Linked DNA regions of Danio rerio. The main gene of each other region encodes a partner of the protein of the gene in region 2 in a complex. Links are inferred from orthologs where the notes say so. Each region holds a gene or a part of one and is shown on either strand. Other genes may lie near its edges.

Evidence for each region.
Region 1: the proteins of si:dkey-16l2.16 (region 2) and rusc2 are in contact, whole or in part, in a crystal structure (PDB 6IF2), measured with the Homo sapiens proteins. The link is inferred for Danio rerio from reciprocal best matches to the Homo sapiens genes RAB35 and RUSC2. Residues at the interface, in NP_006852.1 of Homo sapiens: Asp4, Tyr5, Leu8, Phe9, Lys10, Ser22, Leu26, Asp30, Ile38, Thr40, Val43, Asp44, Phe45, Lys46, Ile47, Lys58, Gln60, Trp62, Thr76, Arg79, Gly80, His82; in NP_001129471.2 of Homo sapiens: Val997, Lys998, Asn1001, Asp1005, Val1008, Thr1013, Arg1015, Lys1020, Glu1119, Glu1155, Leu1158, Leu1159, Gln1161, Pro1162, Leu1165, Leu1166.
Region 3: the proteins of si:dkey-16l2.16 (region 2) and dennd1b are in contact, whole or in part, in a crystal structure (PDB 3TW8), measured with the Homo sapiens proteins. The link is inferred for Danio rerio from reciprocal best matches to the Homo sapiens genes RAB35 and DENND1B. Residues at the interface, in NP_006852.1 of Homo sapiens: Lys10, Leu12, Ser17, Ser36, Tyr37, Ile38, Thr39, Thr40, Ile41, Gly42, Val43, Asp44, Phe45, Gln60, Trp62, Thr64, Ala65, Gly66, Arg69, Phe70, Arg71, Thr72, Ile73, Thr74, Ser75, Thr76, Tyr77, Arg79, Gly80, Thr81; in NP_001182144.1 of Homo sapiens: Met1, Arg4, Glu43, Ser47, Phe51, Val72, Leu73, Thr74, Asp75, Ile76, Glu77, Ser78, His211, Glu212, Arg213, Arg214, Gln242, His243, Ile244, Ile246, Leu249, His252, Leu253, Asp255, Tyr256, Cys258, Ala259, Pro260, Met261, Pro262.

What each region holds. Positions count from the first base shown.
Region 1 is NC_133180.1:20,051,918-20,054,361, forward strand, and holds part of rusc2 (AP-4 complex accessory subunit RUSC2), read left to right. Parts: coding exon 1-759; intron 760-1,285; coding exon 1,286-1,462; intron 1,463-1,715; coding exon 1,716-1,899; 3' UTR 1,900-2,444. UniProt on the Homo sapiens protein: Associates with the adapter-like complex 4 (AP-4) and may therefore play a role in vesicular trafficking of proteins at the trans-Golgi network.
Region 2 is NC_133178.1:31,480,707-31,483,074, forward strand, and holds the end of si:dkey-16l2.16 (ras-related protein Rab-35), read left to right. Parts: intron 1-37; coding exon 38-162; intron 163-1,319; coding exon 1,320-1,469; 3' UTR 1,470-1,851; downstream 1,852-2,368. UniProt on the Homo sapiens protein: The small GTPases Rab are key regulators of intracellular membrane trafficking, from the formation of transport vesicles to their fusion with membranes.
Region 3 is NC_133197.1:23,103,402-23,107,789, forward strand, and holds the start of dennd1b (DENN domain-containing protein 1B), read left to right. Parts: upstream 1-1,562; 5' UTR 1,563-1,756; coding exon 1,757-1,773; intron 1,774-2,343; coding exon 2,344-2,408; intron 2,409-4,388. UniProt on the Homo sapiens protein: Guanine nucleotide exchange factor (GEF) for RAB35 that acts as a regulator of T-cell receptor (TCR) internalization in TH2 cells. Acts by promoting the exchange of GDP to GTP, converting inactive GDP-bound RAB35 into its active GTP-bound form.

The DNA.
Region 1 (2,444 bases), on a different chromosome or scaffold from region 2:
TGAGGAGTGCCGGCTTAGGACTGAGGGAGTGACATTAAAAATGAAACAAGAATGGCAGAGGAGTGTGGGAGCAGAACGTGAGTTTCGGAATAAGGAGGATGGAGTTGGTAAAGAGTGCTTGCGAAAGAGTGACACAGGACAGATGCAAGGTGGAGGGTGCTGTGCTGCCAGAATGAAGGGAGTTGGAGAAGACAATGAGAAGGACAAAAAGAGAGAAAAAGATGGAGATGCAACCAAACAGAGAAACCGACAAGCTGGCTGGTGGTATCAGTTGATGCAAAGCTCACAGGTTTACATTGACAACTCTGCCGAGGGGTCGAAATTTGTCAAGTGGGAGAAGAGGAGGAAAGGAGGGGTTGAGAATCACCGTCAAAGCCATCCACCTCCTAGAGAAGGTGTTGTTGAAGGAGCTGAGGCCATTCAGCAGATGGATGAACAGGTGGAACACGGTCGGACCAGTAGTAGCAATATTAATAGCATTGGCCGTGGGGTTCTAAACCAATCAGCTTTGTCAGAACCCACCAAAGCCACAAAAGCGAAGCCATCTTGGATGGGAAGTCCACCGGAGTCAGTGCTCACTGAGCTGAAAAAGAGTAAGGAGAAGCAGCCAGATTGCCAGGATCCGAATGAAGGGCTTCAGGCCCAGCCAGAAGCAGAGGAGGATGGAACGGCTCAAGTGCTCCGCTGGGGACGACTATTTGGAGCTGGAAATGCAAGCAAGAAAGAAAAGATTGAACAGAAATCAGTCAGGAAACAAAGGTAACTCATCCCTTTTCAATGGAGAATAATCAGCTTTTCATCAGCTATAGCTTCTTATACCAATAAAAATAAATATAACAATATTGGTGTGAACACCAACAAGCAATGATGCTACTGTTCCATCAGTATTGTTCCTCTGGGCTGTTTTTATAGATATCACATTAGATCCGGGGTGTCCACACTCAGTCCTGGAGGGCCGGTGTCCTGCATATTTTAGTTTCAACCCCAATTAAATACACCTAAACCAGCTAATCAAGCTCTTTCTTGGTATACTAGAAACTTCCAGGGAGGCATGTTAACGGAAGTTGGAGCTAAATTATGCAGCACTTTGGCCCTCCATGACCAAGTTTGGACACCCCTGCATAAGATACTTAATTAGTTTACATTAGTAGTTTGTATATTCATTCGTTTTTCTAGCCAAATGTTAGATATTTTAGAATGAGTAGATTTTACACATTGACCCTTTTGGAAAGGCCTTTTTATTATGAATATGTAGCTAACTTTTCCACTCTTGTGTTCCCCTTAGATTGCCTTCAGGTTGGTTGAGTATCGATCATTCTGTGTTGGATCTGGTGGCTCAGTCTGTTGGAGTTCGGAAAAGAGCGGAGCAACAATCTTTTACATCTCAAAGCCAAGAATCCAACCTTGGCCCAACTGAACAAGCACAAACACAGAGTCCCCAAACAAAGACACTAGCCCCACGGTAATGTCATTACACAATACATACGACTAGATTTACTCTTTCAGAAGTAAACCAGTGCTTTCAAGGCGGTTCAGAAGCTAAATCCTAACAAACTGTAGGAGGTTGATTAATATTAGTCTAGCGCTGCCTTGCAAATCTCTGTAATTGTGTAATTTAATTAGTGTTAAATGTCAAGTGCTACCATACATAACTAATTCTCTCAATTTCTTTCCCTTTGCTGTCTATATTTCCCTCTTCTTTCCATCTCTTCCAGGGAAGTGAAGGCGTTATGCCATCATATTGCCACAGAGCCAGGGCAGCTCAGTTTCAACAAAGGTGACGTGCTGCAGGTGCTCAGCAGGGCAGACTCTGATTGGCTGATGTGTGCTCTGGGCGATAGCCAGGGCCTTGTTCCCATCATATACGTCACCCTGATTGAAGACAGTCAGGAGCGTTGAAACTCAAGGGCCCCAATACAAACTGCAGTGGGATGCATTGGGGAATAAAGCGAAGGGTGCCAGTTTTTGGAATATAGAAGCTGCTGCACAAGAGATGAGTCTGACAGATTCATTTTGTGCTCGCATCTGTATGTAAACACCAACACACCACTACTTACACACAAACACCACACTTTGCTGTTGTGAAAGCACCCTGTTTGTTTCAGTGAACAGCAATGAGCCAACCAGTGAATAGAAAGTGTAGATCTAGTTACCGAGTAGTGAAATCGTTTGCAACGAGCCATCAGGTTTTGCAATTTAGCTTGTAATCATAAATGTCAATAGCCTTTTAAAAAGAACTAAAAACCAAATGAAGTTAGATGACACCACGGGCACATATGCCTTGTCTTTATTAAATACTGTATGATTTTATGTAATCTAGATGTTAACCAATTCAATGTGTTGCGACCAACAGTGTGTGCATGTGCTCTTTAGAGGCCGTGCGTAACCCCGGTGGTCATTTGTGAACATCTCGTTCTCACAACATGAAGCTGAATAGTACATCA
Region 2 (2,368 bases):
AATATTTAATATTCCTCTTCATCTTGATCTCTAACAGTGGGAAACAAGAATGATGATCCTTCAAAAAAACTTGTGGACACCCAGGATGCTATGCGCTTTGGAGAGTCAGTTGGCGTGAGGTTGTTTGAAACTAGTGCTAAAGAGAACATCAATGTAGAAGAGGTTTGGTTTTATTTGTAAATTCATTCATTTTTCTCAAAAATACTTCAACTTTTTAGATTTTATTGAAGTCCTGTGTTTACATTTTATCCATAAAAGCTCTAATTCATTTAATTTTTGCAACACTAAAAGTGCTCCTACTATGCTATTTTAAGGTTTCTTCTACAGTTAGTCCAAAGTTAAAAAAAAACTTTTCAATATCCTTTTATAATATTCATTGCAGCATCACCTTTTTCTTTCAAAGTTTCTGAAATGATTAATTCAAGGATCTGACCTCTTATAAACTCCTTTTGAAGAGGCTATCCTGGTTTGATTGGTCAAATGTTGCGGTTGTGATCGGTATACCATTTAGGGCGCAGGTCCACAAAGCATTTTTTTTTTCTTGAGCTGAGCATTTTGTTCTGTTGTTGTCAGTGGAAGGGTCACATTTTTGCCATAGGCGTAGCAAGAGCATTCTGGAATTTTTTCACAAATTATTTTTATTTTCTGACAGTTGGGAAAGTGCTCTCAGCTGAGCGTTTTTGGAACAGTGCTGCTGTTTTTAGCTAGCAAAAAAAAGCTTTGGTGACTCTTACAGCAAGTGTCAAAACATAACGTCATTACCATGTTCAACTTTCAGCTTTTTCAGCAGTTGGTTTTACCTTGTCAGTTTTCGTGTGAATGCTTTTACTTTTGAAAAATGATTTTGCTCTTCTAACATGTCAGTAACACAAGTCAGACTCCAAACTTGTAGGACTCAGCTACCAGTTCTCTGGTCTTGCAAGCTACAAATCAAGTCTACAGGCTGAAATCATGCAAATTTGTTACTGACAGTTCGTTTCAGGCTTGTCAGAATCTGTAGTTTCTTATTAGGGACAATAATTGAATTTATTACTTTAATATTCAAAAGATTTTTAAATCTCACAAATGCAATATTAAACATTAAATAGACGAATGATAAATTCAAAAAGCATGAAAAGGAGCACTTTTAGTTTAAAGTCAAGTGAATAAAATTTTTTTTTTTTTAATATGTTACTGACATAAATTTTATTGTGATTATTAGATATAATACCGCTTATCAGCTCAGCTCTACTACGTATAAAGTATTTAGGCTTTTCGGAATATACATGTTTCTTTTGTCCACTTGCATTAAAGTACTTCATAATGTTTGTGATTTTCAGATGTTCATGGCTTTTACCCACATGGTCCTTCGGGCCAAGAAACAGAGCCAGAGTCGAGCAGAAAGAGAGCGGGAGAGAGAAAAGGACACTGTCCATATCAATTCCCACAGGGACAGAGAGAGGAGGAAGAAGGGGAAGAAATGCTGTTAGAGCAGAGGTGTTGGAGGAAATATGGACAAATGGATCACCTTTGCAAGTTTTCAGTTGAGAAATGTGACTTTTTATGTTAACACTGCGATTAGATGAACCCAGGAGGATTTAAAATAATTTGCTATTATGTGCCGAATATCAGCATTTGTTTACATGTTGTTTGTTTATCAGTGTTTTGTCTGTGTGCGCGTGTATTTTTTTAAGGAAAGGTGATTTGATTGGCATGGATTTACACTGGCAATAAAAAGCCTGGTCCAGCAAACACGCTATTTGAAGCTGTCTGATGTGTTCCACTGTTATCAAGATTTTTAATGATGGATTAAAATGACTATCAATAATGTATGCAAATAACAAATTAGCAATAAAATTTGATTAAAAAATGTCCAAATGAGGCATCTTTATATTTAATATGAAATATTTTGCATTTCCATCACAAGAATTCCTGTTTCCTTTATTATGTTTTTACAGAGGGCATTTGCGGTATTTTAGCTCTCCATAATTCTGAAAATTCTTGTACAGACCCGTACCCTGGGGTGTATTTGGTAGATTGAAAGAAAGTTAATTTTAATACTAATTTGGCTTTTGTTGTTTTCTATGACTTTTCAAATTTACTATTTTACAAGAGACACTACAAAAATAGACATTAATGTATTCTAATGACATGTGATGTAATGCATTTGTATATAAAATAAAATAAATTTCGATCCGGTGGTGCACCATTTCTTTCAAGGAAATGGATGCAGAAAGGCAATTATTTGCTAAAAGATATTTTTGGTTCTAATGGCATATTAAGTTTTCAAGAACTAAGTGAGCGGTAAAAAACTGAACCTTCTCTCATTTTATATTTGCAATTAAGATCGGCCATGAAGGCCTATGGGGTTCCCTGAGGGGACAATCTT
Region 3 (4,388 bases), on a different chromosome or scaffold from region 2:
TGTGAGGCGACAGCACTACCTACTGCTCCACTGTGTCACCTGCATTAGTTTATACGATTCTAATCAATATTTGCTATTTATTTTTGAATATTATGAATTTAATTAGCTATAGCGCATTTAATGATACATAGTACAGTCCATGAATGTCAATGATATTTGTTTTTTGGCCCTTCATAAAAATTTGGCCACCCCTGGTCTTATGCTAACTAATGATAAACTGAAGTCTCATGAAGCAAACGACTGGAGGTTGAGTAACAATTTTGTTTGCATATCAATGGCTGCTGGCTTCCAATATTCTTCTTTTTTTTTTTGACATTTATTTAAAGATTTGCAATGACAGAACAGTGGTATAGGATTACAGATATGTACACAAGTTATAAGTAGGACCAGACAGAATCGGCAGACATTTTTTGCTATTTCCGTGGAATGATTTTGGGAGTATCATAACTAAAAACTTAATATGACATAAAAATAATACCTTTTTAACTTTTATTGCATGTTTACAATGCAAATCCAATTAACTCTACTTTTTTTTTTGGTAAACAAAGCAAGTCTCTCATATAATATCTCTACTAAAAGAGGAAATATTACTTCACAAACTGTATTTTAAATAAATCGTAACATTAACAAGTCAATAATATTACTGTAATTAATATGAAAAGTGAATAAATATAATTTTACACACATTTACACAAAATAAAAATAAATAAATATATCCAATGATAGGCTAAAAATTTGCGTTAATTTATGGATTTCTTTATGGACAGATTCTGTGTGGATATAAGTCAGTTTTTCTAAGGGTAAGAAAATGGTTCGATGATCTATCCCAGGGATGGCCAACCCTGTTCCTGGAGAGCCACCTTCCTGCAGATTTCAGTAACCCATATCAAACACACCTGAACCAATTAATTAGGACCTGAACACCACGTGATAATTACAGGCAGGTGTGTTTGATATGGTTTGCAACTGAAATCTGCAGTAAGGTGGCTCTCCAGGAACAGGGTTGGCCACCCCTGATCTATCCACATAGTGACCGAATGAATGTTAGGAGATAACAACATAAGAATACATTTTTCTTGCTAGATACATACAATGGTGTAACAAAGATTCTAGTCCATGACTGGTGTGTAGCAGTTTTACAATTCAGAAGATAAATAGCTGGAGATAGACAAAAGGGCTACCAATAATCTTTTGAACTAATTTGTGCATTTGTTTCCAGTATGTCTTAACCAATATTATTTTAAATAACTTATTTATAAATTTCATATAAATAAATAAAAAAGGAAACGTATTCACTTGAGGGTCAGTAAATTGATGACAGAATGGGTGAACTATCCCTTTAAGGACTACAAGGCTCAGTCACCATTCACTTCCATTGCCTTTTATTTCCTGTGAATGGAGTCATTTCATTTTTTCTTCTTACAAACACACACAGACACTAACTTATACTGTTTTTAAACTACAGCATAACGAATTTTTAGACTCATCATTACTGTTGCACTCACAACATACGCACGCGCACAGTCAGGTGCTTCCTGGTGCTTCATTGCAGGATCACAGTCAGTCAGGGGAACCGAAACGGTCAGTGAACGCGTCCAGGAAGCGCCACCGGCAGGCGACAGACCGAGAAATGCGGCAGTATCCGCGACTCTCCGTCAGGTAGCCGTGAAAACCAGAAGCGCGTGGCTCCGGTGTCGCGACGGTGTTTTAGTTTCCCGCCGTCGGCGCGAGCAGCTGCTGACGCGATGCTTTAGCCATGGACAGCAGGATAAAGTAAGTCGACACTTGTTTACCTTTCGCATTCCTCTGCTTTGTGTTATCAGTCTCCGTTATAAAAGTCTTTCATTCGGTTGAAATAAACACAGCGGCTGCGGCGTATCCGTTAGTTAGCCAATTTGGCTAATGAGAAGAGATGACAGGTCCAGCTGACCGGTTAGCTGTTTACCTCAGACATGCTAACTAGCCTAGCCGCATTCCTCTACAGCCATTTAAACTTGACAGCTGAATATATTTCATTTTTGATGAAGTTGGACGCCTTGATTTAGTGTCTATAGCTTTTAAGTGTACTGTATAGTATGTGTTATGAATTCACAGCAGCAAACTGACTGCATAGCTCAGTGTCTAATGGCATGTCGAGATTTTAAAGAGATAGTTCACACTAAAATAAAAGCATTTTAACGTGTAACTTGTGTTCAGTCTAAGAAGAAACGTTGACAAATGTTCAGTGTTATGGTTATTTTTGTATATTTTAATCAAGTTGGTTTGGAAGGAGAGTGAATGCTTGTCAAATAAATTGTTTTAAAGTTAGTAACGTTAAGTTCAAACTATGTTTTCCTTTTCCAGTGAGAATCCTGCAAGGACTTTTGATTTGGCTCTTCAAGTTGCGTGTCCATCATCTGAAAATGAAGGTGAGCCCCCATTTCTCATAGAGGTAAAGTTGGTTTTATATTTGGATATTCAGACATAATTCTTAATAAAATAATTTTAGAAAAGTATTCTTTGAAAAATTGTAAATAGGGAAAACATATTTGCAGCAAATGACCATCAAAGTACAACATTGTTCACAGTGAATTGGATGGTGTAAATGTTGTTTAGATGTCATGCTTGCATGCTAATTCCGATCGAATTATCAAAGTAACATGGTAAACAATACAGAGACTGCTAAATGAATGAATGTGCGAATAAAAAACCAACTTTACCTCTTTCCATTGCTCAATTTGGTTAAGTTTTGCATATGCAAGTGTCTGTTCAAGTGTCTGACTTTTTTCATCAAAACACACTAGCAATTATGTGAGGGTTGAGCCTCTCTTTTAAAGCACTAATTCCCTTGCTGTCAGACTTTAAAATGACATTAAAGACAATGTTTACGTCGGCATATGTAACACTACTCATAAGTTATAAGTGATAATATGAGACGTTTTTATTGTGCAAAGTACATGACTGACATTGTAATCAAAAGTAACTTTATAGAATTGATGTAAAATATAGATCAGGGTGGCTGATGTTTGATATTATGACAAATTGCATTATGTAATCTAGAATTGCTGCTTAAATAAAACTACACGGTTTAATACACAAATTTAAGTGTGTGTCGTGATAGCTATCTAACTTTGTACCATTTGAAATCCTGTATTGTGAAACCTAGACAGCTTTTATATATGGCTCTTATTTTTGGCTGATATGCTGAGCTGTTTTCCGTGCTTGAAATGGATGAGTAAATGATGCGTTTTGTGTCTGGGGGATTCACGGGAAGGAAATTATTGCTGTTAGATTCGCAGGGTGGTCAGATTCACTCCTGATGGGCTGACTTGAGTACATTTTCATTTCAGTTCAACCCTCACTTGGCTTGCATTTGCTCTCAGAAACCTGCAGATGCATTTTGGTTGACTTTTTTTTTTTTTTGGTTGATATGCAGTGATATCGATCTTGGTTTGTGAGCACGTTTGTGTGTTTTGAGCTCTGCAAGGATGAATAGAAACCACACAGCTTTAACGGACCAAGTAATGACTGCTGTGCAGTGAAATATGGGAGCTTGTTTTTGTCATGGAATAAAATAAATGAAAAGTTAATTGCCACTATTTATCTCAGAGTTCTGGCCTATTTTTTTCACTTTCAAGTTTATGTCTTTCAAATTCTGCAGTTTTTTTTATTAAGGAATTCAGACGTTTTTTCTAAGAATTTGATTTTTAGCAGTTTATGCCATACAATTCTGAAACTGAGCATAGTTACATGATAAGAGTATACTCAGAACAAGATTTAAAAAAAATAAAAAAGTTTTCTGAACAAAATGAATCACTTCTGGATCTGTGTAAATGACTAAAAATACAGTATTATGCATGCCAGGCCAGTGGGTGGCGATGTCACTTAATTAAGAAATGCTTTATGCCTGTGAACATTTAGTCTTGTGTTCTGATGTTGTTGTTTTGGCTGTCATATACTTGTTCATGTCTACTGAAAGCATATTAAACATAAATGTGTGACCTCATCCTAAAACATGACGTCATTTTTTTTGTAGTTTAGAAATTATTATAAAACAATTTTTTTCCATATACCTATTTTTATACTCATTTTGGATTTGCGCACAGTTGATGTAAACGGCAAGATTCGCAGATTCGCGTAAGTTTTGAAAATGCACATATAAACCATATGCACATAATCGAGTAGGACAAACATTTTATTTGATAAAAGATGTGCACTACGATGGAAACACTTATTGAACAAATTCCTGTATGCGCATGAAAAAAAAGTAATGTGATTTTGATGTGAGAGACCATGTGATGATAAAGATGCATGTAAGTGGACAAATCAGCAAGCTAAGCACATCGTAAAACATCTGAAATGTTGGTTTGGTCATTCTAAAAATCCCTAACCATTTCAGTATTAGTGTT